Caenorhabditis elegans: one gene and its partners. The protein of the gene in region 1 purifies or fractionates together with the protein of each later gene. This does not show direct contact. Each region holds a gene or a part of one and is shown in the gene's direction. Other genes may lie near its edges. The genes, in order: ctr-9, spt-16 and par-1.

Evidence for each region.
Region 2: the proteins of ctr-9 (region 1) and spt-16 fractionate together in Caenorhabditis elegans (co-fractionation; one large-scale study listed by BioGRID). This does not show direct contact.
Region 3: the proteins of ctr-9 (region 1) and par-1 fractionate together in Caenorhabditis elegans (co-fractionation; one large-scale study listed by BioGRID). This does not show direct contact.

What each region holds. Positions count from the first base shown.
Region 1 is NC_003281.10:9,490,015-9,500,186, forward strand, and holds ctr-9 (RNA polymerase-associated protein CTR9), read left to right. Parts: upstream 1-1,625; 5' UTR 1,626-1,643; coding exon 1,644-1,715; intron 1,716-1,876; coding exon of another isoform or gene 1,877-2,425; exon of another isoform or gene 2,426-2,504; intron 2,505-2,537; coding exon 2,538-3,488; intron 3,489-3,831; coding exon 3,832-4,773; intron 4,774-4,919; coding exon 4,920-6,159; intron 6,160-6,205; coding exon 6,206-6,358; intron 6,359-6,762; coding exon 6,763-6,857; 3' UTR 6,858-7,030; downstream 7,031-10,172. Other genes in the region: dars-1 (Aspartate--tRNA ligase, cytoplasmic), read right to left, coding at 1-743, 790-942, 1,100-1,195; sod-4 (Superoxide dismutase [Cu-Zn]), read right to left, coding at 7,162-7,307, 8,435-8,516, 8,893-8,988, 9,314-9,493, 9,540-9,640, 10,123-10,172. UniProt on the Caenorhabditis elegans protein: Component of the PAF1 complex which is a multifunctional complex involved in transcription initiation via genetic interactions with TATA-binding proteins, elongation and transcription-coupled histone modification.
Region 2 is NC_003279.8:10,783,718-10,793,889, forward strand, and holds spt-16 (FACT complex subunit spt-16), read left to right. Parts: upstream 1-5,412; 5' UTR 5,413-5,419; coding exon 5,420-5,491; intron 5,492-5,539; coding exon 5,540-5,632; intron 5,633-5,682; coding exon 5,683-6,138; intron 6,139-6,499; coding exon 6,500-7,941; intron 7,942-8,101; coding exon 8,102-8,528; intron 8,529-8,581; coding exon 8,582-9,184; 3' UTR 9,185-9,435; downstream 9,436-10,172. Other genes in the region: F55A3.6 (uncharacterized protein), read right to left, coding at 470-562, 616-709, 998-1,167, 1,211-1,264; F55A3.2 (C2H2-type domain-containing protein), read left to right, coding at 9,875-10,070. UniProt on the Caenorhabditis elegans protein: Component of the FACT complex, a general chromatin factor that acts to reorganize nucleosomes. The FACT complex is involved in multiple processes that require DNA as a template such as mRNA elongation, DNA replication and DNA repair.
Region 3 is NC_003283.11:14,124,939-14,135,110, reverse strand, and holds the start of par-1 (Serine/threonine-protein kinase par-1), read left to right. Parts: upstream 1-8,572; coding exon 8,573-8,796; exon of another isoform or gene 8,797-8,855; intron 8,856-8,867; coding exon 8,868-9,000; intron 9,001-10,172. UniProt on the Caenorhabditis elegans protein: Required for cytoplasmic partitioning and asymmetric cell division in early embryogenesis. Phosphorylates and restricts the asymmetry effector mex-5 (and possibly also mex-6) to the anterior cytoplasm of the zygote.

The sequences.
Region 1 (10,172 bases):
TCGTGATAATGGAAGTTGAAGGCCATTTCCAAGTCAAGTCCAACGAACTCGGTCATATGACGATGGGTGTTAGAATCTTCAGCACGGAATACTGGACCAATAGTGTAGACCTTTTCAAAATCTCCGGCAATAGCCATTTGCTTATAGAGTTGTGGAGATTGAGCCAAGTAGGCGGATCCTTTGAAATAGGAAACTTCGAAAACATTGGCTCCACCCTCACTTGGCGCAGAGATAATTTTTGGAGCCATGATCTCCACGAATCCTCTAACATCGAGAATGTTTCTGAACTGATTACAAATTCCGGCTTGAATTCTGAAGATAGCATGAGAGGTTGGCGTACGAAGATCGATGACACGGTTGTCAAGTCTTGTATCGAGATTAACAACAGCCAATTGATTCTCCTGCTCGCTGGCTTTCTCTTCGTCAGTTGGTGCTCTGCGTGATGCATCCTCAATTTGGAGCGGAAGCTTTGGAGCAGAAGTTGAAACGACAAATACTTGTTGAGCAAGTAGTTCGACATCCTTTTGTGTGCAAGATTCAATTGGATTGTCAACCTTGTTGATAGTAGCATAAACGTCAACAATAGACTCCTTTGAGATAGAAGAAACAAACTTCAACATTTGCTTGCTAATCTTTTCGTTCATAAACATTGCTACTTGAACGGTGTAGACTCCCTGACGGAGAACGAGGAAGCAATTCTTTCCCTTCGATCGAGTAGTGTGAATGCGCCCACGGACCCAAACCTACAAAAATGTGAATAAGATGAGCATATCCTCTGTTAAAACTCACGTCTTTTGTTGCGTTGGAAACGTTGATCTCCTTGACTTTCAGAAAGTTCAACACCTTCTTTTCCTTAGAGTTAACAAGCCCATATGATCCATAAAAGTCTTTGGATGCGTCTTCTTGGTCCATAGCGGCAGCCTGTTGTTGGTTTCCTCCTTTCTGAATTTATATTGCTTAGTTGCGAAATATTTCAAAATAGCATTTGAGGTTATAGAAAATTATTTACTTTAAAAATAAATAGCTCAACAGAATTTTCAATAACTCTATAAATTTAGACTAAACCCTATTTTAACGAGCATAGTTAACAAAATCTCACCTCTCCAGCTTTCTCATCTTTCTTAGCTTTTCTAGCAAGCTTATTGAGCTCCTTCTTGGAGAGTTTTGGTTGTTCACCTTCGGCAGCATCAGCCATTATCACCTGAAACAAATTAGCATCTATAAAACCAATGAAAAATTAAATTTTAGCTTGAAAATAAGGAATTTGTTTACAATTTGGGCTGAAAATGATGAAGTGTGTATGCGCGTCAGTTCTGATGTTTGTGCTCTCTGCGTACAATGCGTTACACTTCACGCGCATCGCGCCTCGTTCGAAAAGATATTTTTTGCATCCTGTTTTTCTCAATTTCTTCTTGAATTTCAAAGTTAAACGTTATTTAATCTTTATATTTTATTCATTTGCTTATTCTTTTTGTAAGAATTAAAGTGAGTTTATCATAAATCCATGATTTATTCTGCATCAGCGCTTGGAAAGTCTACTACCACGTTTAATCTTTAAAATTCCCAATCTTGGGTACTATTACTTGAATATTTGTCAAGAAAGATCTAATTTGTGTTTTTTACAGGTCAGAAAGTCCAAGGAGATGGACGAAAGTATTGATGATGTGCAAGAGACCAGAACAATCGCTATTCCATTGAAAGACAGTCACGAAGATGTAAGTTTTTGTTTCAAAAGTGTTCATAATTTCAAAAATCGATCGTTGTTGTTTCTTAGTGAGGAAATTTGGGAATATTGATTCATCATGTCGGTAGGACTTTCAAATTTCGAATTTATTTCAGCCAACCGACTTGATTTATCGATATTTTTGAATTTCAGGGTACGCACTTAAAACGTCTCCGCCGTTTCTCAATCGAAGTCTGGAATTTAATGCAAAACTGGGCGACAGCTTCTGAAAAATCAGTCCAATATTTGGAATCATTAGTTAATTCACGTCTGAAACTGCTATATTCGCGAGAAGTTGATGTAGAGGAGTCTGCAAAACTAACAAAAGATCAATCTGATCGTGTTCTCAATGAGATTGTTGTTATGAATTCAAAACTGAATCAAACTATGAGTGATTTTGAGAAAGTTATTGGAAAATTCGAAGTTGCACAAGGACGAATGTCAGCTTGGAAGCAATTGACCGAAAAAAGTCAAAATATTGAAGAAAAGTACATTGTGGAGACCCTTGACGAGAATTTGCCGTTAATAATTACAATGCTTAAGAAAGAATTGAAAGTGAAGCAAGACGTGCTCTTCGATTTCGCTCAAAATGACAGCCGGGACGTATTTACTCTTGTCCTTCTCACATTTAAACATGAACCATTTGTTGATGTCGCCCTTCTTTCCAAATTATTCGCATTAGTGGCCTCCGAAGCACAATGATCGATTTTTATTAAATATTATATTGTTTAAAAAAAACGTTTTTTATGTTTGTTCGTGAAATAAAATCTTGAAAAATTAATTTTCTGAATCAAATAATGAAAAACTTATTCAGGAAGTAATTGAAATCAACTGCTCCGAGCTCCCCGATGGCGAAGAAGTCCTTCAAATTTTGGAAGCAGAAGAAGCAAAGTTATCGTATTGGATTGAAGTTGCTCTCGAATATTACAGACAAGATCGTGTTGATCTATTCATGATGATTCTAGAATCTGCTGGATCTCGTGCTGGATTGGAGTATGAAGGAGTAAAACAGGATCAAATGAGAGCATTGGATATACTTGCTGCCTACTGGATGACTCAAGGTTACAGAGAGAAGGCCAAGGACAAGAAAAGTGATTTCTTCTCGAAAGCTACAGTTCTTTTCAACACAGCCGATAAAATTGCGATGTATGAATGGTCTCACTTGACAGTTCGTGCTTGGTTTTATCTTTTTGAACGAGATAAAAGTACAAACAAGTATGAACTTGCTGATCAACAATTCAATTATGTCGTTAAAACCAATCCGAAGAATGTGCTCCCGTTGATTGGAAAAGCTGTAATCGCATTCAATAAAAAGGATTATAAAACTGCAATCTATTACTTTCGAAAAGCAATTCGACAATGTCGTCACACAATCGCAGATCTTCGAGTCGGAATCGGTCACTGCTTCGCTAAAATGGGAATGATGGACAAAGCGAAAACGGCATTCGAAAGAGCCATGGAAATTGAACCATATAATGTATCGGCCATGTGTGGTTTGGGAATTATTCTGTTGAACACGTACGACCATGACAGCCTCAAACACGCAGTCAGTTTGTTTGGAAGATCTTATAATTTACAAACTGATCATCCAGTTGCTCTTATTCATCTTGCTAATCATTTCTTTTTCAAAAAAGAAATTGAGCGTGCATGGACACTTGCCTGGCATGCAGCAACGTATAATGATTGTGATTCGATAAAAGCTGAAGCTTTCTATCAAATGGGAAGATGCAGGCATGCACAAGGGCAATTTGACGGTGCTTATAAGGTTTGTTTTTGAGTTTTCAAATCATAAACTAAAAATATAAAATTAAAAACTCGAAAGAAACCCCGGAATTTTGTCATTGAATCCTGAAAGCAATCGAAAAATCAAATGATTTTTATGTTAAAAAAAGCTTCAGAAAAAATGCACGGAAATATTCTAGAATTTTGAAATTTTCTTATTTCGTGTCTCGAAAGACATTGCTCTAAATTCTCAAAAAGTCCTTTTTTTTTAAGTTTCATATTTTTCCAATTTACGAAAGCTTCGACTGAAAATATTCAAAAATCTACCTAAAATTTTTGTGTTTTGGCCATTTTGGAATATTATACGTGTAAAATCCTACTTTCAGTACTACTACCAAGCTCGACAAGCAAACAATGGAGAGCACACCCTTGCTCACTATGGACTTGGTCAAATGTACATTCATCGAAATGAAATTGAAGAAGCAATCAAATGCTTCGATACTGTTCATAAACGATTGCCAAACAATACAGACACGATGAAAATTCTTGGAAGTCTATATGCTCATGTTCAGCTAAACGATCCGGCACAAACAGCAGAAGCACGGCAAAAGGGACGGGATGTTCTTGGAAAATATCTGGCAGTTGAAAATGATGACTATGAAGCATGCATCGACTTGGCTCAACTTCTCGAAGCAACAGATCCAAAACGATCTCTGGAATTGTATGAAAATGCAATCGACTTGCTTGTAACAAATGAGAGTATTCAACCACAACCCGAAATGCTCAACAACGTCGGTGCTTTGTATATGTCAATGAAGCAATATGAAAAAGCTGAACATCACTTCAAAAGAGCTAAAGAACGTCTTGAAGAACAATTGAATACTGATGAAGGGTCTCTACTTTTAGAACGTAGAAGTGCTCCTGAAAAATCGCACCTTCTCACAATTCGTTACAATTTGGCTCTGTGCTTGGAGCATCTTTGTCGTACTGTTGAAGCCGAACAAATGTACAAGGATATTGTGAAAGAATGTCCTGGATATATTGATGGATATCTTCGTCTTGGATGTATCACTCGTGATCGTCATCAAGTCTATGAATCGTCTTTGTGGTTGAAACAAGGCGTTCAATTTGATCAAGCATCACCAATTGTTTGGACTCTTATTGGAAATCTTCATTTTGCAAAGAATGAATGGATGCCTGCCCAGAAGAAGTTTGAATTCATTTTGTCGAAGATTTTCAACAACAAAATTCCTGATCCATACTCGCTGGTAGCTCTTGGTAATGTGTGGTTCGAGCAGCTTCTCAATCCATCAAGGAAAAAGGAAGATGTAGGTTTTTTATTGCTTTATCACTTGCATTCTGAAATTTATTCATATTAAATTTTATAATCGATACCATTTTGTACTTAACTATTAAAGAATGAACAATATATTTAATTTTTATTTTCAAACAATTTAATAATATTTTGTTTCAGGAGAAAAAGTACATTGACCGAGCTCTCCAAATGTATCAAAAAGCATTGAAACTTCAACCAAAAAACATGTATGCTGCAAATGGAATCGGATGTGTGCTTGCTTATAAAAGAAACTGGAATGATGCTCGAGATGTTTTCAGTCAAGTTCGCGAGTCTACCAGTGAATTCTACGATGTCTGGCTCAATATAGCTCACGTTTGCATGGAACGAGAGCAATGGATGGCTGCTGTTCAGATGTATTCGTCTGCGATGAAAAAATTTCGAAAGGAGAATGACTCGACATTGCAACACTATCTTGCAAAGGCCTATTACCGAGCAAATATGTTGAATGAAGCCAAGGAAGCACTTGAATGTGCAATGCTTGATCAATTGGATAATACCCAATTGAAATTTAACTATGCTATTGTATTGAAGAAATCTGCAAAAGAAGTACTTCGAGGTCACAAAATGACATCAGAACAAGTGACTGCGGCTATAGATGATCTCAAATTCGCCGACAAAATTTTCCAATACATCTCTAAAAATGATGATCGTCAATCGAGCCATACTGGAATGCGAATATCGAGAACAATCTGCGCAGAAGAAGCTAAAAATTGCAAGGATTTGTTAACTCAAGCAAAGCATAAATTAGCAGCTGCACAGACTCAAGATGAAGAAGAACGTCGTCTTATGGAGAAGCAAGAGAAAGAGAAGATAGCATTGCAGAACAAGATGATTGAGGAAGCTCGTGCTAAGGAAGAAGCTGAAAAACAGAAGCTCGAAGATATGAAGAATCTTAGATTATCATTCATAGAAATGACAAAAGATGTTCTCAGACTTCCAGAAATTGTCGAAGAAAAGAGAAGAGGAGGTGGTGGACGGAAACGACGAAATGATGATGGTGATGAGTTTGTTAATGATAGTTCTGATGCTGGAAATTATGATGGAGAGGAAGGAGGTGAAGATGGTGAACGAAGAGAACGAAGGAAGAAGGATAAGGCAGCAAAGAAGGCATCCAGGAAGAAGAGAGAACGTAGAGATAGTGGTGGACCTGATTCGAACAGAAGAGATGAGAAAAAGAGAAAGAGGAAGGAAGAGAGGGATCGAAAACTACAGGAGAAGCTCTCAGCAAAACAATCAGCAAAGATAAAATCTCGTGCATTCTTATCTTCATCGGAATCTTCTGATGATGACAAACCAAAGCCTGCTGCTGATTCATCGGATGATGAGGTTGATCCGCGGCCGCCAGTTGATGAGTTTGGTTAGTTTATTGATTTCTGATTTTCAAAAAATTCCATTTTTTGCAGATAGTCCAACCCGAACTGACAGTGATAGTGATCGTGAGACAACTACAAAAAAGAAAAAGAAGAAGGCTGTTGTGGATTCTGATGAAGGATCAGTCTCCGGATCTGGCTCTGGATCGGATAATGATGATAAGCCAATTATTGGAGGTTCTGATGGTAATCATAGATTTGAAAAAAAAAACGACAACCGAGGATGTCGCCTTCTGAAAATACCTGATTATTTCAAATATCTCAAAATCGAAAAAAATACTAATATTTTTATTTTGAAAAATATTAATCAAAAAACGAAAATTTTTCGATTTTTAGTTTTATTCAGTTTTTATTCAGTGATAATCGGAAAAAACTTCAAACAATGTTTGGAACATTTGAAAATATTAAATTTTAAACATTTTTTCGAAATACCTGAAATCGCAAAAAAAAAAGAAAAAAAAACACTTACAAATTTTTTAAAGGAAAATTACAAACCATTTCAAAATTGTACTAAAATTTAGACTATTATCGCACAAATGAAATTTTTTCAAATTTTCGGAAAATCGTATACAAAATGTTGAAATTTTCAGATGATGATGATGATAAACCTGCTGGTGGAAACTCCAGGGACAGTGATGGAAGTGATGCTCCGAAAAAGAAGGTTATCGAGAGCGACAGCGACTGAACCAATTTTTTTTAAATTTAAAGTTTTTATTTATTTTTGTTGTTCACAAATGTTTTATTTGTACTCTTTGTAAATCTAGCATCTTGTGCTCGTTCTCACAATACATTCTCCCGTTTTTAATCACCGAGTCCAAGACTTTCAATCTTTGACATGAATTCATTTATCAAACAAATAATGGTACCTGTGAGTTCGTTTTCGTTAGTCGCAGAGTTTTCGATTACAATTTGAGACCAGTTTTCGTGAGGAGCGAGGGCATTTAGGACTAGAAGGAGGGAGCAAAGAAAGCATGAAACAATAGGACGAATTAAAGAATACGAGATAGCAAGAAATATAAAATAATTGGAAGATAAAATGTAGAATAATAATAAGAAGAAGATCCAATTGGTTGAGATTGTGTAACTGGAGGAAGGGATGCTGTCGTTGTTTCCAAAATACGTTCTTCCACAATTCCTGAATAATTTAACGTTTATTGGGGTTTTGAAGATAAGTGAAGCATATTACACAACAATTGCAATTTTTGACGCAAAAATACGGTACCCGGTCTCGACACGACAAAGTTTTGTCAAATACAAACTGGGGTCTTCAAAAAGCACTGTAATTTGAAATTTTCGTTGTTGTGAGTTTTTCTCACGATTTGGTTAAATTTACGTTTTTTTTTAAATTTAAGCTTCCATAATGGAGTTATTCAAGTAGTGTCGGAAAGTTGAAAAGTGTAGAAAAATTACGTCACAACTGTATAAAAACATGTATTTTTATACATTTGTGACGTCACAAATGTATTTAAATACATTTTTCTACATTACTTGAATAACCCCATAACGATAAAATATGAAAAATTCATGAAAATTCATTTTGGTTTTGAAAAAGGCGTGTCGAGACCGTGGAACAAAAATCTCAAAATTTCGCGTCGAGGTTAATACCGGAAAGCATTGAGAAGCATGCATTGGACAATTTTTAGGAGGAAAATTCATTTAAATTTTATTATAAGGACGCAGCCCATAAACGTTGGGTCTCGTTAGGTATTCGACGGCAAAATTCTGAATTTCGTTTTATCAATTTAAAAATAAAGAAACTACGGAAAACATGTTAAAAATAGGAAAAATGATTACAAGCGAGTGATATCTGCAAAAATAATTGAAAACGTTTGAATTTCTGGTTTTGCCGCCAAAACATAACGAGGCTCAACGTTTAGGGGCGGAGCGTTTTCAGTTCACCGTGTAGAGCGCTTTTACGTATTCATTTATTCTACGTCCCCATAATACAGTTTTTGTATTAGAACATGCTAATTTAGTAAAAATCGTTCATTAATATATACATTCACAAAATTTCTACAACATAAATAGAGATTATTAAATAATTATTATATTTCATTTAGTAGTGAGGCATCTTGCATCGACGTGTGATTAGCAACAAAACGAGGCTTGGAATGGGGGAAGGAATATTTAGAGAAGATGTGTGAGAAAGTGAGACGCAGACAGTGAGACAATATCAGACGGTACCTGTCAAACAGATTATATGAACTCAGAAGTAACATATTATATTTTAGTAAGGGAGCTGTGAAGAGGTAAAAGTCTTACCGATAGTTCCACATGCAAGTCGGCTTCCAGCATTTCCAGTTGTTTTTGATTGGTCTGAAGTACCGCGTCCCAAGTCATCAGTCTGAAACAGTGAAGTATTTAATTGAGAACTAAATGAACATTGAGAGCTTAGGCTTAGGCTCCGGCTTACGCTTAGGATTAAGATTAGGCTTAGGCTTAGTCTTACAGTTAAACAGGCAGGTAAAAAAATGTCTTTTGAAAATTTTAGATTGTTTCTCCGCTATGATAATTCGAACACCAATGTCGTTTACTTTTTCCAATAGATTTTTGATCTTTGCCATTTCAATCAACAAGTCTGGAACAATCGAATGCTCATAAATATTTGTTTCAATCATACACCTATTTTTTTCAAACTTCTCATCCTCAACAACACCCAACATCAATATTTTTTATAGACACTGCCATCAAATAACGTGAAAAATCATAAACCAACTCACTTTTTCATGAATAACCACACTTCGGCCAATGATTGAATATTGTCCACTTAATGAGGCAAGAGAGTCGGAAACTGAAATTAATGTGTCTCCGGAAGCCTGAAAAAAATATAATCTCCATGAGATGTGTACATATATAATTACTAAAAGGCACTCAAAAAAGAAAATTTGTTGTGGCAAAGTTTTAAAACCAACTTATATTTTTGGTGGAATCGAACTTCGGAGTGTTTTTGAGATAAATATGGTAATTTGTCATGCATGTTTATATTTGGCCCTTATTAGAATTGACTACATACATTTAAAATCAAAATGCAAGTGGTAGTCACCATGTTTTCACTAGACTTGAACATTTTTTTGTAAAAATTGTATTTTGAGATTTGGTAATTTTAACACAATATCCTGGAAGTGTTCTGTAAATTCTTACCGGTGACTCAATATTTCCCAAATCTCCAATATGTCTGTTCGAGTCATCTGGTGCACCATGGCTCAGCTTATGAGGATTATAATGTCCACCAGCACTTAGACAACCATTTCCAGTATCTCCTTTTTCATGAATATGGAATCCATGTTTTCCAGCTGCTAATCCGGAAACCGATCCGTTAAGCTGAAACAATAATTGGGTCAATGTTTTCACACTGAATAATAGTTACCTTCAGAAAACTTCCAGATTGATCAAAATCAATAGTTCCAATCAATTCAGTTGGAATTTTTCCAGCTTCAGCTTTGAAAATGTAGGCACGTGCACGAATCACTGAAAATAGTTTTACTTATAACTTAGAGCAGTGAAATTTTATAAGGAGCTATTGAAAATATAAAATTGAAATTTTGTTTCTGAATTATATATTTTTTTTTTTTTTGGGAGTTCTAAGAATTTTGAAGTTTGAGCCCCTACAATCTTCAAATAAAATTGCCTTAAGTAGAATTAAAATATAAAACTTGTGGAAAATTTTTTTTGGTCAACTTCCAAAATTATAGAATTTGGTAAAGTGCAAAATTTTTAAAAAATTTAGTTGTTTAAAGAAAACTCCTAAAAGTTTCCTAGGACTGTTTAGATGAAAACAATTGTAAAAAGTTTAAAATATAACCCTGGAAGAAAATTATTTTTCATCGACTTCCAGAATTATGATATGTGAAAACTGAGTAATTGCCAATTTTTGCAGTAAACTTTAAAAAATTAAAAATATTCTGACTTTTTAAAATATACGGCGATTCAAAAAATATATAATTGTTTACCTTCGGAAGCGGCTTCAATGCAAACGGAGAGAGCCAGAATTAAAACAACA
Region 2 (10,172 bases), on another chromosome or scaffold:
TGCATTTTTATTCAAATTTTTTTAATTTCTCAATTCATGATAAGCGCCAAAAATCTTTTATTCCTCAACATGGTGATATCCTAATCAATATATAATTGCGTACTAACTTGTTTAACAGCAAAAACCACATATCCTTAGAAAAATTGTGAGATTTAAAACGGAAAATTAGGATAAAGTCGGTGAATGACTATTTGCCGACAATGAGCTCCGAATGAACTCCGAATGAACGACAACGAAAATGCCGAAACTAAAATCACATTGATATCTATGCGTCTAAAATATTTAATCAAAGCGTGTACCTTCTTTAAACTCTTCGAACCAGAGCACATATTCTCGGTTGGCTGACGCCACAGAATCAGAGCAGTGGCATCCTTTGTGAGTATCACGAACGACAAGGTCATAGAAAATTGATCGAAATTCCCCAACTTCAAGTTCCTCTCCGAGAATAACCCGAGCTCTCTTCACGACGTCACATCCTTCCCAGAGCATCGCGACGACTGGTCCAGAGCTCATGTAATCGATAAGCAATGGGAAGAATGGTTTGTCCTTGTGCATAGAATTCCTTTAAAAAAATTATTGACTGCCCTAAAATTTAGAGATTTCCTGAAAACTTACATTGAGAAGCTCGTCGGACAATTCCATAGTTTTATTTTTGATGAGTGTGCATTCGGAATGTGTAAAACGGGCCTTTATATCTTCGATGAAATTACTGAAAATTAAACAAAATTTTATAAACATTTTCAAAAATGTCGAGTCTCCACTACGAAAGTGGGGAAGTACCGAAAAATATGCTTTCGCAACCTCCTCACGCTTATTTCGTAACCCTCACACTGTTTTGTTTTAAAATAAAAGAATAAAAATTTTGAGATTGATAACGAAAAACGCGCGAGGTTAGTGAAATAAGCGTGCGGGGGCTCCTATGCACACTTTTCGGTCCTATTGAGTTATTTTTGTAACTTCCGTTATTTTTGAAAAGTATAGAAAACTTGCAACTTACATTTTCTCGTCTTCTTTGACAAGTATGACGAGCTTTTCCTTATCCAAGTGGGCCTGCGAAAGAAGATGGTGATTCATCCGCTGGATACGGTACTTTTTCATCGAAACGCCACAAGAGCACAAGAAATTGGCCCCGTCGATTTTGACATCACCTTTGGGATCATACAATTCCTGCAATCCAATAAACTAAGATATTCCCTGATTGAATTTTTACCATCAGCTCCGTAGGTTGATAAAATTCGGGAAACTTCCGATGGGTCTCATACATCTAAAGACAGATTGAAATGAGAAACATCATAAATAGTGAAGAAATAAAACTGGTTCCGTGAACCATAGTTCCAAAGATCATGGGAAAACGAATTTTAAAATATTATTTGAATCATCATTGGAAAAATAATCAAGGAATTGGATAATTTAAAACGCGAAAATTGGCTGTACAAATTCATCGGAATCCAACGATCCTTCATCATCATCATCGGATTCAGTCTCTTCACCTTCACTTTCATCTTCATCACTTTCACTTCCTGATCCAGCAGATGCATCTTCTTCTTCAGGATCATAAGCATCCGAATCATCAGAATCATCCATTGCCTCTTCATTATCAGATTCAGCATTCAGGAAACTCCATCCACCTTCTTCAAAGAATGCTTCAAGATCATCAGTGATTGTCTTCATAACTTTTGCCCAATTGAGTGATTGAATTCCTTCACTGTACCAAATATCGCAAGTGTGAAGCTATTCTTTTATCTTATCGATATTGCTCATCAGGATTTGGGCGACCATCTGAGGCTTGGAAGAATTTTGATATTGTTGTAGAGAACATCGATACGATCACCGCGAAGAGATGTGTATCTGGAAAATGAATTGAATAAAAATCTTGAAAATTAGAGCTTTTGGGATTTTGCTTAAATATAATGAAACTGGTCCGCAACGGCGTAATTTCATAACGAAAGCTTTCAAAAAAAAGTCTAATCTTGCTGAAATCTGAAATATCGTCTTGTTCTTGTCGCAGGACCTGAAATGTAGTTTTTATGAAATTATAACCTTTTATTGCATATTTTGGTAGATTATCTCGTGTTAATTCGCGAATATAGGCACGTTTTAAGTCGATAGATATCTAAAAATTAACAAAAACAGATGAATATTGACTTTAAAAGTGTCTAAATCAAAAATTAATGCGATATAAACGACCAAATATTTAATAAAAGGTGATATTTAAAAAAAAAAAGAAATATGTAATTCAGAAAAAAAAGTCTTCTTTCAAAACTGCACCTAAATCCATTAGTATGAGCCTCCAACGATCCGGTGATAAGCTTCTGAATAATATTTGGACAAATCAGAAGATTGAGCTTTGGATTCAATTTGTTCTGGCTCAAAATCAATTTGTCCTGCTTAACAGCGCCTTCCTTCTCCCGTTGTTCAGCCTCTTCAGACTTGAATCTCTTCTGCATTTCCTTGATAAATCGGAATGCGGTGCTCAAATTACGGCTCGGAGCAGTCGAATCACTGTGATGATCCTTGATGTTGCTCGCACGGAACGTGAACTCCTTCATATAGTGTGCAAGTGGATGTGGGAATTGCCCACTATCCTTTCCAACTTGAGATCCTGGAGTGGCAAAGTTGATTCGAAGATATGTTAAATCGCCTTCAACTGATTGCGAACAATTCTTTATCATAGAGATATGGAATGGGACAGGAATTCCAAATATTGGAACAACCACAGAATCATACTTGCGATCCACGAAAATCAACATCTTCTGAACGTCTGCATCTTGTGGTAATATTTTGATAAACGTGCTCCAAACGAGGTGATGATTGTTCCAAACTGGCTGTGAAGATGAGACCGAGCTTTCATGATTCCATTTGAATTAGTAATTTCCACCAACATTACGATTGGATCATAGCATGTGTCGGCTTCATACTTGGCCAGTGCCTGTTGTACTTTTGAATCCTTCATGAAGGCGGCAAACTGATTGGAGAGAACAGAGTGACGGACTCGCTGAAAGAAAGAAAAATTATTGTTTTCTTGGGGTTTACAAGTGTTTTACCAAGGAGTACAACTACATAAGCCAGTTATCGGTGATAGATAAAAGGAAAAATAGTGTAGTCATCTAAAAAATAGCTTTTATTTCAATTGAAACAACTGGAAGAACGCTCAAAAATTATAGGAAAGTTGAATTTTTTGCAATTTCCAACTTTCAGATTGTTTTTGAGCACTTCTTCCGTTTGTCCAATTGAATTAAAAAGCTATTTTCAGATACACAAACTGTTTCTCTACATTCTATCACCAAAAGAACTCCCAGTTCAACTATTTTCAGAACGATAAGCACCTTTTCATTATCACTGATCTCCACGTAGCGAGCTCTCGCAGCTGTCCATGATGCGGTTGTAGCCTGTGCTGATTTTCGAATCAAATCCATCTCCTTATCGTCTTTAACTGCGAACAGATGAGTAAACGCGAGAGTAACGTCATTCTTATTGACACCGCCTTCCTCGAGCGCCTTATTCCACGAACTGACGAATTCCGAGCTGAATTTCTCTTTGACGAAATTTCCAACATCTCCGCCTGCACTTTTGATGTGATCAATGAGCTTTTCAAAGTTTCCAGCGTCTTTATCGGTTTTATCGCGGAGCAGTGTGCTGACTGTTGGCACTTTTCCTGAGCTCTGATTGTCTCCAGTGACTGATCCGAAGAATTCGACTTTGCGATTACTTCCGAGAATGTAAATGTGATCATTGAGAAGCAACAGGACTGTGTCAGCGATTTCGTGGCCAAAAAGCCAGGTCTGAAATAAAAATTTGTCTTGAGTTTGAACAAAGTCTGAAAAATCCTTACAAATAGTTCGCTGGTCTTTGTATATGGATTATCAGTCTCTCCGTATACAAAAGCAAGTGATTTGATCGAATCTAGACCATCGGCTCCCTTCTCCTGTAAAATATTTGTAAAAAAGTAAAAACTATCAAAAACAGATCCAATGAAAATAAAATGGAACTCGGTAATTTTCAAACTCAATCTCACAATTTTTCGATGGAAAACATTTTAAAAATATAGCAATTCTACAGCTTTTATGGCAAAAAAATAGGGAAAAAATTAGAATTCAAAAATGTTCGTCGACAACAACGCAAAACCACAATCGTGTCGAGACCCATCCGAGTAAGCCGATGTCCCTTTAACCAACCCTATCGCGGTTTTTTTTTAAATTTTTAAAATTTCTTCAAATATTTCGTCCGTTTCTCTTGTGGACCGCTGTTAAAATAGTTAAATACTTTATTTTTCAGAAAACAGATAATTTATACCAAATTGACAGATGTAGAGCTAAACTCCTCAAAATTTTCTAAAGTTCTTATAATTTTACTGTTGTCTGCGTTTCAAGGCCTGAAATATTGTAGGCACTATCGTAGGATTACAACCGGATTTGTAACTTTGATTATCTGAAAAGGAAAAATATTAAACTTTTCTTTCAGGATTTTTCGCAATTGCCGGCGTAATAATTGCTAAAAGTCGACTTTAACTTCAATATATTTTAGCATTCCGAATCTGAAACTAGTTCCCAAATGCCATCTCTCCTTATCATTATAGTCTTCTTGCTGGTATTCTTGGAAATTGGATTTTTCCCTGTAATGTGTGGATGTTGGATGGATGTTTGTACACTTCCATTATTCAATATAACATTATCACAAAGAATTGCAACATTTGCCACAGCTCCATTCATGTCAATATTCCTTCATTGGATGGTTGGAATGATTTATGTATTTTATTCAGCGTCATTTGTGATTCTTCTTCGAGAAATCCTTCGTCCTGGTGTACTATGGTTTATGAGAAATCTCAACGATCCCGACTTTAATCCAATTCAAGAAATAATTGATCTACCGTTCACGCGGCATTTCCGAAGACTTGTTGTATCTACAACTCTGTTCTTTTCAACGATTCTTCTGACATCCTACATCCCGCTCAACATAATCTCATCACTTATTCCACATCTTCTACCCTACAGAAACTCCACTTTCTGAACTCTCGCTGGAATTGATGTTTCTTCAAGAATTCATCACAATTGTGTACTCTCACATGGCCCCTCCGTAAATAACATGGCGGGAATATTGCATGCGGAGTGGTTGCGAAAGTGCGTGCGGCTGTTGCGTTCCTTGACCACGCCCAACTTCATTCCATTCTTTTTCGCGCGCAATCCTCACTTTCAGCTCTAATTTTTCAGAGTTTACAGTTCTTCAGTGAAAAAATATTTGTCTCGTCAAAACGTTTTTTTCAAAATTTTAAAATTGTGTCAAAAAAAATTAATTTTTTCGCAAATTTCAAACTTTTAGCCTATCCGAATCCGTTGCTGGTCACTTTGTTTACGTTATCGATTTTTGCTTCCATCTCTCAATCCTCGTGACTTTAACACAATTTCTAACTTTCAGGGGAGAAATGTCTGGAAAACGGGCAGTTCTCAACAAGGATCTCTTTTTCCAGAGAGCGGAGAGGCTTTATGAGCACTGGGTTTGTGACTTTCAGGACTTTACGAATTTTTAATCAAATATTTTACAGGAGAAGGGAGCCGATGGTCTAGATTCGATCAAATCACTTGCTTTTGTATACGGAGAGACTGATAATCCATATACAAAGACCAGCGCACTATTTGTAAGGATTTTTCAGAATTTGTTCAAACTCAAGACAAATTTTTATTTCAGACCTGGCTGTTTGGCCACGAAATCGCTGACACAGTCCTGTTGCTTCTCAAAGATCACATTTACATTCTCGGAAGTAATCGCAAAGTCGAATTCTTCGGATCAGTCACTGGAGACAATCAGAGCTCAGGAAAAGTGCCAACAGTCAGCACACTGCTCCGCGATAAAACCGACAAAGACGCTGGAAACTTTGAAAAGCTCATCGATCACATCAAAAGTGCCGGCGGAGATGTTGGAAATTTCGTCAAAGAGAAATTCAGCTCGGAATTCGTCAGTTCGTGGAATAAGGCGCTCGAGGAAGGCGGTGTCAATAAGAATGACGTCACTCTCGCGTTTACTCATCTGTTCGCAGTGAAAGACGATAAGGAGATGGATTTGATTCGAAAATCAGCACAAGCTACAACCGCATCATGGACAGCTGCAAGAGCTCGCTACGTAGAGATCATTGATCAAGAAAAGGTGCTTATCGTTCTGAAAATAGTTGAACCAGGAGTCCGCTGCAAGCATTTCTACATAATTAGCCAGTTTTTGGTGATAGAATATAATGAAGCAGTTGATGTATCTGAAAATAGCTTTTAATTCAATTGAAAAAGCGGAAGAACTGCTCAAAATCAATCTGAAAGTTGGAAATCACCCGAAAATTAAACTTTCATGCAGTTTTTGAGCGTTCTTCCAGTTGTTTCAATTAAATGTAAAGCTATTTTTAGATGACTAAACTGTTTTTCCTTTTATCTATCACCAATAACTGGCTCATTTTTTAGTACTCCTGGGAAAACCACTGTTTTAATCCCGAGAAAATAATTCTTTTTTATTTTTGCAGCGAGTCCGTCACTCTGTTCTCTCCAATGAGTTTGCCGCCTTCATGAAGGATTCAAAAGTACAACAGGCACTGGCCAAGTATGAAGCCGACACATGCTATGATCCAATCGTAATGTCCGGTGGAAATTACTCGTTCAAATGGAATCATGAAAGCTCGGAATCTCATCTTCACAGCCAGTTTGGAACGATCATCACTTCGTTCGGAGCTCGTTTATCAGAATATTGCACAAATTTGACGCGAACTATGCTCATCTTCCCATCTTCTGAACTTGAGACTGCCTATGAAGCGATTCTTGCCGCCGAGCTGGCAGTAATTGCTGCTCTGAAGCCAGGAGCCAAGCTGAGCGATGTTTATAAAATTGGAATCGATACATTGACGGAGAAAAGTCCAAAACTTGCTGAAACTCTGAACAAGAAAGAGCTTGGATTTGCGACTGGAATCGAATTCCGTGAGAGTCGTCTTGCTATCAGTGCGAAGTGTGACGAGGTTGTCAAAGCAGGAATGGTCTTCATCGTTTATATTGGTGTCGATAGTATTCCAAACAAAAATAAAGGAGAAAAAGGAAAACCCGCCGCAATTGCAATCTCGGATACAATTTTGGTTAAAGAAGAAGGCGATAACGAGATTCTCACCGAAAAAGCCAAATCACGCCTGAAGTCCAACGTCATCAAATTCAAAGAGGAGCAGGAAAACCGTGAAGCTGAAAAGGACAATGATCAGAAGAAAATGCTCGGAAGAGGTCAGAGAAGTGTCGTTCTAACTGATCAGACGAGAAATAAGACGACAAACGAAGAGTTACGTAAGGAACGTCAGAAAGAGCTCGGAGTTCAGTTGAATGAGCTCGCAAAAGCTCGTCTTTCAAAGCAAGGCGGTGGGACCGATGAGAAAAAGTCGAAGAAATCGAATGTGTCATATAAAACCGAAGAGAGATTCCCACAAGATGCAGACGTTCAGAAGATGTTGATTTTCGTGGATCGCAAGTATGATTCTGTGGTTGTTCCAATATTTGGAATTCCTGTCCCATTCCATATCTCCATGATAAAGAATTGTTCGCAATCAGTTGAAGGAGATTTCACATATCTTCGAATCAACTTTGCCACTCCAGGATCTCAAGTTGGAAAGGATAGTGGGCAATTCCCACATCCACTTGCACACTATATGAAGGAGCTCACGTTCCGTGCGAGTAACATCAAGGATCATCACAGTGATTCGACTGCGCCGAGCCATAATTTGAGCACCGCATTCCGACTCATCAAGGAAATGCAGAAGAGATTCAAGACTGAAGAGGCTGAAGAGCGGGAGAAGGAAGGAGCTGTGAAGCAGGACAAATTGATTTTGAGCCAGAACAAATTGAATCCGAAGCTCAAGGATCTTCTGATTCGTCCGAATATTATTCAAAAGCGTATCACTGGATCGTTGGAGGCCCACACTAATGGATTTAGGTACAGTTTTGAAGGAAAACGAATGTTTCTGAACTCAAAAATTGCCAAATTTGAAAACTTTCGTTTCGAAATTATGCCGTTTCGGATCAGTTTTAGTCTATTTAAACAAAAAAAATCTAAAAGCTCAAAATTTCCTATTTTTATTTCAATGATTTTCCAGATACACATCTCTTCGTGGTGATCGTATTGATGTTCTCTACAACAACATCAAACATGCATTCTTCCAACCGTGCGACAATGAAATGATCATCCTTCTGCACTTCCATCTCAAGAATCCAGTATTGTGGGGAAAGAAGAAGTATAAGGATGTTCAATTCTACACAGAAGTCGGAGAAATCACTACGGATCTTGGAAAGTATCATCATATGCAAGATCGTGATGATATGCAGAGTGAACAGCAAGAACGTGAAATGCGTCGTCGTCTCAATGCTGCATTTAATAGTTTCTGCGAGAAGGTGTCTCGTCTCACAAATGATCAATTTGAATTCGATTCTCCGTTCGCTGGACTCGGATTCTTTGGAGTTCCGTATCGTTCGGCTACCACACTCAAACCAACTGCATCGTGCCTTGTTAATCTCACCGAATGGGTATGTTTTTTGAATTTTATTCCTGAATTCTTTTATATTTTATTTATTTTCAGCCTACATTCATCGTCACACTCTCCGAAGTTGAACTTGTCCACTTTGAACGTGTCTCTCTTCAACTCAAGAATTTCGATATGGTCTTCATCTTCAAAGATTACAAGATCAAACCTCAGATGGTCGCCCAAATCCCGATGAGCAGCATCGATAAGATAAAAGAATGGCTTCATACTTGTGATATTTGGTACAGTGAAGGAATTCAATCACTGAATTGGGCAAAAGTTATGAAGACAATCACTGATGATCTTGAAGCATTCTTTGAAGAAGGTGGATGGAGTTTCCTTAATGTTGAATCTGATAATGAAGAGGCAATGGATGATTCTGATGATTCGGATGCTTATGATCCTGAAGAAGAAGATGCATCTGCTGGATCAGGAAGTGAAAGTGATGAAGATGAAAGTGAAGGTGAAGAGACTGAATCCGATGATGATGATGAAGGATCGTTGGATTCCGATGAATCAGAAGGAAAAGATTGGTCAGATTTGGAGGAAGAAGCAGCGAATGCTGATAAGAGACGTGAAGTCGAAGAACCTTCACGTGATCGTGATCGTAAGAGACCACATTCGAGCAAGTCTGGACCATCGCACAAACGCAGAAAGTAAATCCTGTTTGTATAATTTCCTCCGTTTTATTCTTTTGTTTTGTTTTTCAACTATTTAAATCCCCAAGAATTTTCTTCGCATCTCAATCAATCAATCCGTCCCGTTACACCCCCCATTTTACAACAATTTTACAACTAAAATCTGTCAATCCCCTTATTTTTCTTTCCCACTCAAAATTTGAGTCGATGCTAAAATATTTTTGATTTCAAAATCAATTAATGTCAAATGAAGTTTCATGGAGGCACGTTTTTACATAATTTTGTCGGTTTTCTGAAAATGTTTCCGTTTCTACTTTTTCTGATTAATATTACAACAACAAAATTATACAGATTTCTAAAAAGGAAAAGTTTTGCCAAATGGGTCTCGCCGCGCAGACGACAGGTTACTGTAGCTCGTGTTGATCTTCGAGCCGCTTTAGAATATTATGCAAAAGCGTCATAGACACGAGTTACCGTAGTCCTCGTGGCGAGACCCATTTGGCGAAAAGTTTTAATTTTAGACGTCTGTGTAATAAGCAGTTGCTTGAAACATGAAGATCGTATGCAGAGGGTGGAGCATTGGAATGCTCTTGACATGCCACGTGTCTTGCACTTAGCCCTCTGATTGCGGTGGATTTGTGGGTTCGGTGAGTGGGAATTTTGCTGAAAATAATTTTTTAATTGAATAAACTCGCTAATTTCCGATTTACAGATGCCGAAACCACCTGGCCCAGTGGCAAAACGGTTAAAACTGAAGGATGATTCAGTTTCGGGTTCCGATTCAGCATCTACGAGAACGAGTCGAAAAACACGTGGAAAAATGATGAGAAGTAATGAAAAAATAGGAACTTTGACGATGGATGAAGCCATTAAAGCTGCTGAGAAGATTACAGGATTTCAGAAAATTGGTAATATTATTGTTCCGCTGAATAGAAGGATCAGAAAGAGGCAGAGGTTTTGCAAGACTGTGGCGCGGTTCGATGCATTTCGATTTATGGAGGGTTCTGTAA
Region 3 (10,172 bases), on another chromosome or scaffold:
CCTCCACTTTTTCTCTATTATGCATAGTTTCAACATGAAAAAAGTTCCATTTTTCCAATTTCTCTGTGCTCTCTCTTAGTTCCAGCATCACTATTCCACACGTCTATCTAACCATTCTAGCGTAAAACGAACAAAAAGAGTTGTTGTAGATTGACAGAGAGAAAGAGAGTATAGGAGTGTCCTCCGTTAGTCTCAAGGACAACACTCACTCACTCAAATAGACCAAAACCATTCCTAAAATGAGAATTCAGTCACCCCAACCTCCCACCACCACGCCCTTTTTTCCCGGTCCGCGTGTGATTTTGGTGATTGTCCTCCCGCCCGCGCCCACTTTTTTCGCCTAGAAACTCCTTTTCCTTTTCCACTTCACGCTTCTCGGTCAATAGGAAAGTTGTTTGACGATTGTAGGTCATTGAACGTCTGAAGCACCCATGGCCGAGGTTTCACAGCCCAGGCCATTAATTTTTTACTGAACAGTAATATGCGTTAACAACACTAGTGTTGAGATTTGCTCTTGAAATCTGTTGCAATCGTAATTTTGCAAAAAAAACTAGGCCGCTGATATACTTTAAGGCCACGTCGCATATTTCGCTCTGTGTCTCGTACGTACAGATTTATTCGAATGGGCCACACCACGAGAAAAGTCCAAAAATTAATTTAGTTATTTTTCAAATAATTTTATATTAGAAATTAAATGAAGTCACGTTTAAGTGTATGAGTTTATGTCACTAAATATGCACAATAGGAAAAATCTTTCGTATTCACTATTTTTTCGCGGCGAGACCCATATGAATAAATGCATGCGCCTTTGGGTAGACGCTACAGAAAGCTGCAGAATAAGAACACCTAGCTCTGTAGTTCATGTGAACTTTTCCTTCTTCAAGTACGTAAAAAGTTCAAATCACTCTAGCATTTCATTTTATTCTCTAGATTCCCACCACTTCTTTCTCTCCCATTTTCTCTCTTCTTCTTTCAATTTTCCTCTCTATTTTTTCATCCATTGTTTGTTTTACCTTCTCCATTTTTTTCCACCACCGACCCCATACTGAATGAATGTACAACAAGTCCAGCTGGTGACGATGATGATGATGGTGGTGGTGGCGGTAGAGAAATAAGAATAAGAAGAAGAAGAAGCTAGTTTGTAACACTCTCATATTATTCACCGAGAAAGAAGAATTGAGACAACACAGAACACTCCCCTCCCAATCTCGCTCTTCCCCGAGAAATAACACTGATTGTGAGGCGAACATGGCTTCGTTCTATTTGAATTTCGGATTGTTACGGGTGTTACACGCGCGCGCGCACGGAGGAATAACAGATTGGGAGTGTTACATTGCTGTGGCCTAGTATTATATTCTTGGAAAGTTAGGCTATCATTCAAAAATTTGAATGTTGTCGATTTCATTTTAACTTTAGAAGGTTTTAAAATTACTTTTACGTGCAAATTTTAGTTCCTTTTTCAGTCAACAATCGTTATCACAAACTTCTGTACAATACTGTTTTGCACCGAATCATGCGTCAGTTGTGCTCTCCTCACTTCCAAGAAGCTTCTTCTGTCTGTTTCTCTGCACTCTCCACTCTCTCTCAGCCTTCTTTCCTCCAATTTCTCTCTCTCGTTTTCTCATCAAGAGCTCTTTGAAACCGAAACACTTATCGATTATTTGAAAATGTTTTAAAATACGTCAGCCAACACCACTACCAACGTCAGAACGAGTAAAAAAATGTTCCACTTGAATATCTTCCTAGCCATATGCCTACTTTATTCATAATTTTCTGCACTTTTATTTGCATTTTTTATAAGGAAATTTATTTCAGGAGCATGTGAACACGCCTCCAGGGGATAATCAGCAGAAATCATCGAAAGAAAACCAGAAATCTAATAAGGTTCGTTTCAATTTTCAAACTACCGCCGAAAAGTGTAGCGGTGGCCTAGAAACCGACGTGTGGATATCTAGGCCATCTCATTTTTTTAAATTAATTTTTCACATTTTTTCGCTTTTTACATGGCAAAACCGATAATTCCAAGCGTTTGATAACGGGAAAACTGATAAAATATTTTTGAAATCGATATTTATTCATTGTTTTCTCATAATCAACTTTGAATCTGATATAATAATCGCTCAAACGTCCTGAAACTCGGGTTACAAAACTAAACTATTTATTTTTCAGGATAAACAGTCGTCAAATCAGCCACCCGGTCAAATTCCGCATTCAACAAATAGCGGAACAAGGAAATCGAGTGGAAGCGGATTGAAAACTGCAAATTTGAAAGTAAGATCTCAGAAAAAATGTATATTTTTTTCAAGTCTAAGAACTTTCTGTGTGAACTTTCTGTGTTCGGTGCAACACAAAAGATCTCATCCAAGACACGGGCGGTCTTCGAGAAGATTAGTGATAAAAGAAAATAAAGAGAGTTCCGAGTAACAGACAGTGTTATTTGATGATGACAACGACGTTCCGTTGCGCCGCCGCCGCCGTCGCTCCCATCATCACTCAATTTACCTTGTTCGTGTTTCCTAGTTTTCTCAATATATATCTTCCTCGTCGTTTTTTTCGCTGAAAACTGATAGAAATATGACGAAAAACGGAAATTGACGACCTGTGGATGGAAAACTTCGACGGGGCGCGAGATGTGGGGAGACAGAACAAAAATGTTGTTTGTTGCATGAAAAATTGAGAAAAAAAAGAGAGAGAGAGAGAGGTGGGAGAGAATTTTTCAATATAGAAATCATTCGTTTTGTTCGTTGTCGACCTGGCAAACCGCCATACAAAATGTCCAGAGTTTCAGGCTATTTTATGGGAATTTCTAAGAAAAATGGTCAAAAAAAGGTAGGACAGCTGTATAAAAATTAATTTTTCTGCTAAATATGAGGACCGGCGATAGTCTAAGTCAAAATATTCGTTAACCTTTAATATTTTTGCTTAAATGAATCCGAAACTAACGAATTTCGTAATGAAATTTCTAATAAAACATTCCAACATTTTTTGCCGAGCCAATTCTTTTAAAATCTGAAATTTCGCTACTTGTCCTGGTGTAAATACAGTTTTTATTGAATAATCACCCGGTATAACAAATTTTGATAGTTTATCTTCCGTTAATTCGTTGGTTAAAAAAATTTTATAGTCGATATCGATAAAAATGCATTACATCTGCTGCGACAAAAAAAGTTAGCGAAATTTCAGATTTGAACAAAATTTGATTTTTTTTTCAAATGTTGACCTGCCCAATAAAAATTTTTAAATCCTTAAATTTCAGCATCCGGCGCGCCCATCAACAGAATCCTCAACTTCTTCATCACATCATCGACGTCCTGCACAAGAAATGAACGGAACGTCGACGGCAACTGCCACCGGTGGCGGAGGAACATCTGGAGCCACCACAACGGCATCATCAGGAGCACCGGCTGCTTCATCGGGTGGAAGCTCGGCTAGATATTCGAGTAGTGGGAGATCCCATCCAACGTCTGGAAGGTGAGTGTTTTTTTTTTTCTTAAAGAAAAAAAAAGGAGAAAAAGCGGAAACATTTATTTTTCAATTAAAATTAAAAATGTGAAATTGTTTCCATCGGACACAGGTATGGGGGAAAATTTGTTGTTTTCCATGCTTCTGGTTTCGATTGTTGAAAAAATTCAATAGTTTGCTTCATTTCACTCAAAATAACGAGGTCTTTCAGAATTTCTAAAATGACTTAATTACAGCTAAAATCTCCAATTTTTTCATTTAAAGTCGATATTTTAGTAACCTCTCGGCTGGAAATATGTTTAACTTAACGAAAAAAAAAACAACAATTTCCGGCCTCTAAGACTAGGAAAAGTTGACAAATTCGATATTTTTGCTGAAATTTAGCCATTTGTAATTTTGAAAGGTCTCGTTATGAAATTCGGTATTTTCGGGGTCATTTTGAAGGGTTAGTTTAACAAATTGATCAAAGTTTGAACCAACTTCCCGAAATAGTTTTAATTTTTTGCCCGTTGGTTTTCTCACTGCAGTTTGTCTCAATTTTCTCTCGCCCATCTCTCCTCGTTCGTTGATTTCTTCACAAATTGTTTGTTTTTCGAATCTTCACTGACTTATTTTCAATTCTTCGTTAGTTGTTTGCACCCACAGATATTCGGCGGCTTTTTCCTTTTTCTCTCAATCTCTTCAGAAGACTATTTTTCTAGTAATTCTATGACAACTTTGAAAAATTCAAACTGCTCCCAATGGTTCAGAGATACTTTTAACAAAGAACTCCTTCTCCCTTTTGTACTTTTTGACGAGACACTTTTTTATGATTGATGCTCGGAGAGAAGCTTTCGATATCAACACTTACTGATAAGAAAAGGCTTTTGTTTTTGAATCACTTTTTTCAATTGTACAGAACAAGTAAACAGAATTGTTGTTTTTTTTTTAAATTTTTTTCCTACAAAAAAAAATAATTTATTCGATTTTAATCCAAAAATGGTTTCAAAAGTGCCAAGTTTTTAATACTCAATTTGCATAATAACGACTTATTGTACAGTTGAAGGTTGCTGACCTTTCTGAATATTTTAAAAGTGTAAAAATAAAAAAAAATTGAAAATGTAAATAAAAATGTCAAAATGTTCACAATTTCCGAGGTCTCTCTTCAATTCCAAAGACCAAGTAATCGAATGAGCCATCTTGATGATGTCTTTTCTACTCAAAAGCCGAACAAGTCCCAATAATTAGGGGTGGCGAGAATAAGAGGGGGAGTAAGCACACATACACAGACACACGTAGCATACACTACTCGAATATTATGCAAATTACGCTTCCTTCTTCTTCTTCCTATTCGTCGCCTTCTTCCTATTTCTGTTGTTTCTTCTTCTTCGTCTTTTTGACGTCTTAGTCGTCATTTTCAGTATCTCTTTAGACTAAAAGCTCACTGATCCTGAAAAGTTGAAAAGCTGTTGTTTAAGCTTTTTCAATCCGAATCAGAATACATCATCATCATATTTCATCCTCTCCGCAGGGCTAATGTTCTTTCAAAAGAGCTTTACTATTTCCATATTTGTCCATGCTAGTGGAACTTTTTCACCACACGCTCTTTTTTCTTCCTCTCCATAACTGCTGCTGGGGGTCGAAGTCTACTCGGCCGTCAGAGAGGAGAACAATCTCTTTGGAATTTTCAATGAATTTAGGACGCGGTTTGTGGTGGTCCAACAACTAGTATGTGTGCTCTGCGCTGAGCTGAACACTCTTCTCAATATGTATATCCATGTCCTCTGTGTGTGCTAATCCATTCCGGAACCTCCGCCACCAGCATTTTCCATTCTTTTCAATCCCGTCGTCGTCGTTTTTCATTCTCATCTAGCCTTCTAATCCCTCATTTCTTAGTTTTGACGAGAAAAAACATGGTGATATCTCTGACTGCATTCAACTTTTTTTTTCATAATTTTCCAGACAAGAATCACGTTTTCTGGTCATTTTGTTTGAATGTTTTTTTTTGTTTTCCCTGATAAATACCACTAATTGAGGTGTTGCTTTTGCAGAATGCGTATGTAGGTTATCACAATGACGTTTTATTTTTTTTTATTTATTTTTTTTTGATAGCACTAATGTTTTTTTTCCTTGAAACGTATAATTTTGCGGTTTAGTAATAAAAAAGTGATTATAAATTTTCAAAGCGTGATCACGAATTTTATGTTTCCAAAAGTACATTTATATTTACAGGTCTATAAATTTTATCCATCCAAAAATGTTCAACAAAAAAGCACTGCTTTAGAATGTTCTATTGAGCTGTACCAACGCGGACCAATACGTTCGAAATTGTGCCCTTTTCAAACGAATAGCTCTTCCTTTCAAAAAAGCGATCTGTCATTTCGAGTTTTTTGTTCTCTGCTTCACAGCTCAATCCTCCTCTGTTTCTTTTTGCTTTGCTTTTTTTGCTGTCTTCTTTTTCGACTTTTTGTCGTGTCTCATTCTCTACCCCCGAGCCCTCGGGGCCTTCAATATTCATCCTCTCAAAGAAAGACTGATTCATCCTCTTTTTACTGACATTGACGCAGCAGTAGCTTCTCCTTTTCCTTATTCTCTGCTGTTCATTGCTGTTTTTTTCATCGTCGTCGTTTTTCCTCACACAGTGTATTCTAAATTTTTTCGGAACATTTCTGGCGTTTCTTCAGTCCCCAAACGGCTGAAAACCCGGAACCGAAAGCTGAAATTTGAGTGAAAGCTGATTGGGGACGCTTTTGCGTCGTCATCCGTCAGCCAGAACAGTTTATTCCAACGGGGTCAACACACTGCCACGCGGAGCTGTTATTCGTGAAGTTATGAAATTTATGTGGAAGCCACCCGAGTAAGTAAGCGGTAGTACAGTTTCGAGTTACTTTAGAGAATTTTATGATGTTCGGGAAAAAGATTTGAAAATGTTGAAGGGAAGGATCGCTAGTGGAAATTTTGTGAAGAATCTAAGGAGTATAAAATCTTAACAATAATATCTGGAATATTAGCCGACTTTTGGAAAACGTTAGAGAAATTTAGAATTCGCAGAATTTTGTGGCCGATTACCAAAAGTAGATTGCCACTTTTTGAAAATGAATAAAAACATTTCAAAAAAATTTCGAAATGCTTTACCCATGAGAATAACTCACCCTGTTAAACTGTAAAGTTCCAACCTATCCCATGTTTCAAATTTCTGTCAAAAATGAGTCAATAGGCACACAAAAACAGAAACTTTATCACTACTTCACAGACATGACGGAGTCAATTTTTGACGGCCCGCCGGATGTGATTCATAGACTTTGAACCATTTCAATCGATAAGCTATTGGAGCTCCTGTAAGCTGGAATCTAATTGACTAACAACCAAAAACTGGCACAACCCTATTCATTGCTTTTGTAATGATGCTCTTTGGTGTACATTTTCATGTTTCCTCCACCCTCTTAGTTCTCAACCTATTTAATAGTGCCACGTCAATCCGAGAGTTTGTGATGAGTTTCTCGGTTAGTACGATTATAAAGAAGAAAAGTGAGACGCGAACTTCTTTTTTTCAACTCCATCTTCGTCGTCTCGGTGCACCTGGTGTGTTGTCCTATTCTATTCGGTTCTACCTCCTCCACCCCCAATCTATTCAATTTTTATTATTGACTTATCGGAAAGAGAGTCAGTAATAGGAGAGGTGGACACGCAGACGTTGTGAGAAAACGACAAGCGCCTCGACTGAGAGAATTGAAGAACTGACTCATTTTTGTACTGAACTGACTGACAGTGCAGACTGGTTGACACACCTGCTCAGAAGCTGCTGGATCACCTTACACATTCACGTGCGACACTATTTTATTCAATTATTGTTCGCGATTCAAGATTCAAGAACTGTTAAGATGACGAAGAAATCGTACGCATTTGCACTGGATCTCGATGATTTGTGCTGTGACGATCATCCATATTCATATTCACCACCTTCCACATCTTCACGGCATTCTGCATATTATCCATCTCAACAGCCTCGGACCTTTTTTCCGGAATATGAATTGACCAGGTTTCTATCTTGTTTCAAAATATTTTTTCCGGCTGCTTCTCTTCTTGAATATGACTCATCGCCCCCTCAATTTTTCGTTGGTCGTGCTGCAAGAAATTTTCCATGATTCATCATAGCAGCTTGTAGTATAGAAGAAGACCATCGTTGTTCTTGTTGAACATCAGATTTTACATTTTATGTCCGGCGCCTGAGTTCGCCTTACTTTTTTTGTGTTCTACGAGGTACGGGCAATATGATGAACGTAGCCACTAAATGGGGCAAAGTGGCCGAATATAATTAGTACGTTTCTAGATTCGGTTGACCTTTGATTTTATATCCAAAAAAGGCAGTTTAACGGTTTTCTTTTTGAAAAACAATTTTTTCTAACTGAGGGGCTGGAACTTCCTTTTCTATTGGAACAACGCGTCTCAAATGAAAAAAAAAAGTTTCCGAAGCGCTATTTTTCGAGTTTTTTTTTTTCATTAAATCGGCTGTAAAAGTCGTCATTTCTTCCCCTCTGTGCTGACGTCTTCACTCAAAATGAAGAATTGCAAGCACAACGAGATGACGTTGGATGGCCCCGCAAGCAGTCAGCATCGAATGAAAATTTAAACACAGAAATTCAACGAGCCCCGTCCATCAAAGCCACAAAAAAACGGGGGTCCGCGAAGGGAAATTAGAAAAAACGAAGAGGCATGGCGGGGGGGGGGGGGACACGATTTTATGTAGCACTTGGAGCAGCACTTTGTGGGGGCATTTATCGGTCGGCGGGGAGGGTTTTTTGGAGAAATTCCGATGTGATGGGAGCAATAGAAAGAGAAGGGGACACATATTCCCTCTTAGTTTTTTTCTCCTTTTGCTCACACTTTTTTCAAGAGGAATACAGACAGATAGAGAGAGACATGGATGCAATTTGTGTCTCTTCTCCAAAGTGTGGATGGATGGATGGATGGATGTGTATGGAGAAAGGCCGCCCATCTTCTTCTTCTTGCTCGCTTGCTCCTCTTCTACTGCCGGCGCTCTCCTCGTTTTTTCCAGTGTGTCCGTCCTCCACGCTTTGCTCCATTTCGGGGAGCCCCAGGGCTCTTACGCGTCCGTTTGACCTAATTCGATATGTTCAATGCGGCATACTCGTCGTTACTCGCTAGATTTATGTGCCAGCCAAGTAGTTCATCTGTGACGCCTATTCCGGAAGAGGAGGAATCTCTGATCCCGAAGCGAAAAGTGTCTGAAGTGGTCACTACAGCTCCGATGGCTCCCACACTAACTTCATCTGGGAAACGGCGAACGGTGAAAGTGTCACCTGATGGAGATCATGTCACACATAACCGAAAAAAGTTAATTTTAGTTCACATTTAAAATTAAAATAAAGCCCCAGTCCACCAGTTTTCAATAAAAATTTTTCCAGCTCTTCATCACATGCACGATCTACTGGACAATCGGGTATGTCAAGTCGATCGGCAGCACGACGCAACGATCAGGATGTACACGTTGGAAAGTATAAGCTATTGAAGACTATTGGAAAGGGAAATTTTGCAAAGGTGAGCACTTGATGATTGGAAATTTCGAAAAAAAATAGTTATCAAAAAATTAGAGCTTGAAACATACTGTAGCCGGTCTCGACACGACCGAGCGCCTTTAAGGATTACTGTAGTTACAAACTCCCGGTTTTTGGCAAATTTTCTGTTTTCCAAATTTTTTAAAAATTTTATTTATTAAAACCAGTCGATGACCGCGCCTCCGGCGCGGCCAACGACTGGCGGAGTTTAAAATGTATAATACATAGATGTCCTTTTAATCATTCAAAAATGTATCATTAAAAAAGTTGAAACTTCATCGATTAAATCGCATTTTCTTCTTCCATGGTATTCGATTCAGAAAATTCAAAGAGACAGTTAGAATGTTCTGATTTTTCTACACTCAAAATTATAAAACTGCGTTGCGTGTACGCCAAAATAGTCCCCGCCTTTTTCTCGTTCACTCACGGGGAAAAGGCAAAAAGCGGTACCCCAGGTAATATCAGCCGCCGACATCATTCGAGGTCCGCGCACCACACTATTTTTCTCACTGTTGGCGTGGCGAGCTGTCCCCCTCCCCCGAAAAAATTCCACAGAGTTACAGTTTTTCAATAAGTTAATAACTTTCCTTAACTGGAGAAGTCTGAATAATTAACTACTAATAGTAAGTTCTTTGAATATAGATGTGACGAAACAAATAAAAACTCCTACAGTTATAGGAGGTTGTAGAGCATTTCAGAACTTTTTTGAATTTTCCAGATGATTCTAGAACATTCTAGAATTTTCTTGAAACTTCCAGAAGGTGCTGAAACAAAAAATTGATTCCAGAACCAAAATTTGAATTTCCCGCCAAATGTTTTCCTCAGAAAATTTGAATTTCCCGTCAAAATCTTTTTCTCAGAAAATTTGAATTTCCCGCCAAAATTTTTCTTGGAAATTTGAATTCCCGCCAAAATTTCTTTTCTCATAAATTTTGAAGCTCCCGCCCATATTTTTAAAGGTCCCACCACGATGGGTCTCGCCAGTTCCAGGTGGTACTTAAGCTAACAAAAAGTTTCTCAGAAAATTTGAATTTCCCGCCAAAAATTTTTTCACTGAAAATTTGAATTTCCCGCTAAAATTTTTTTCACTGAAAATTTGAATTTCCCGCCAAAAATTTTTTCACTGAAAATTTGAATTTCCCGCCAAAAATTTTT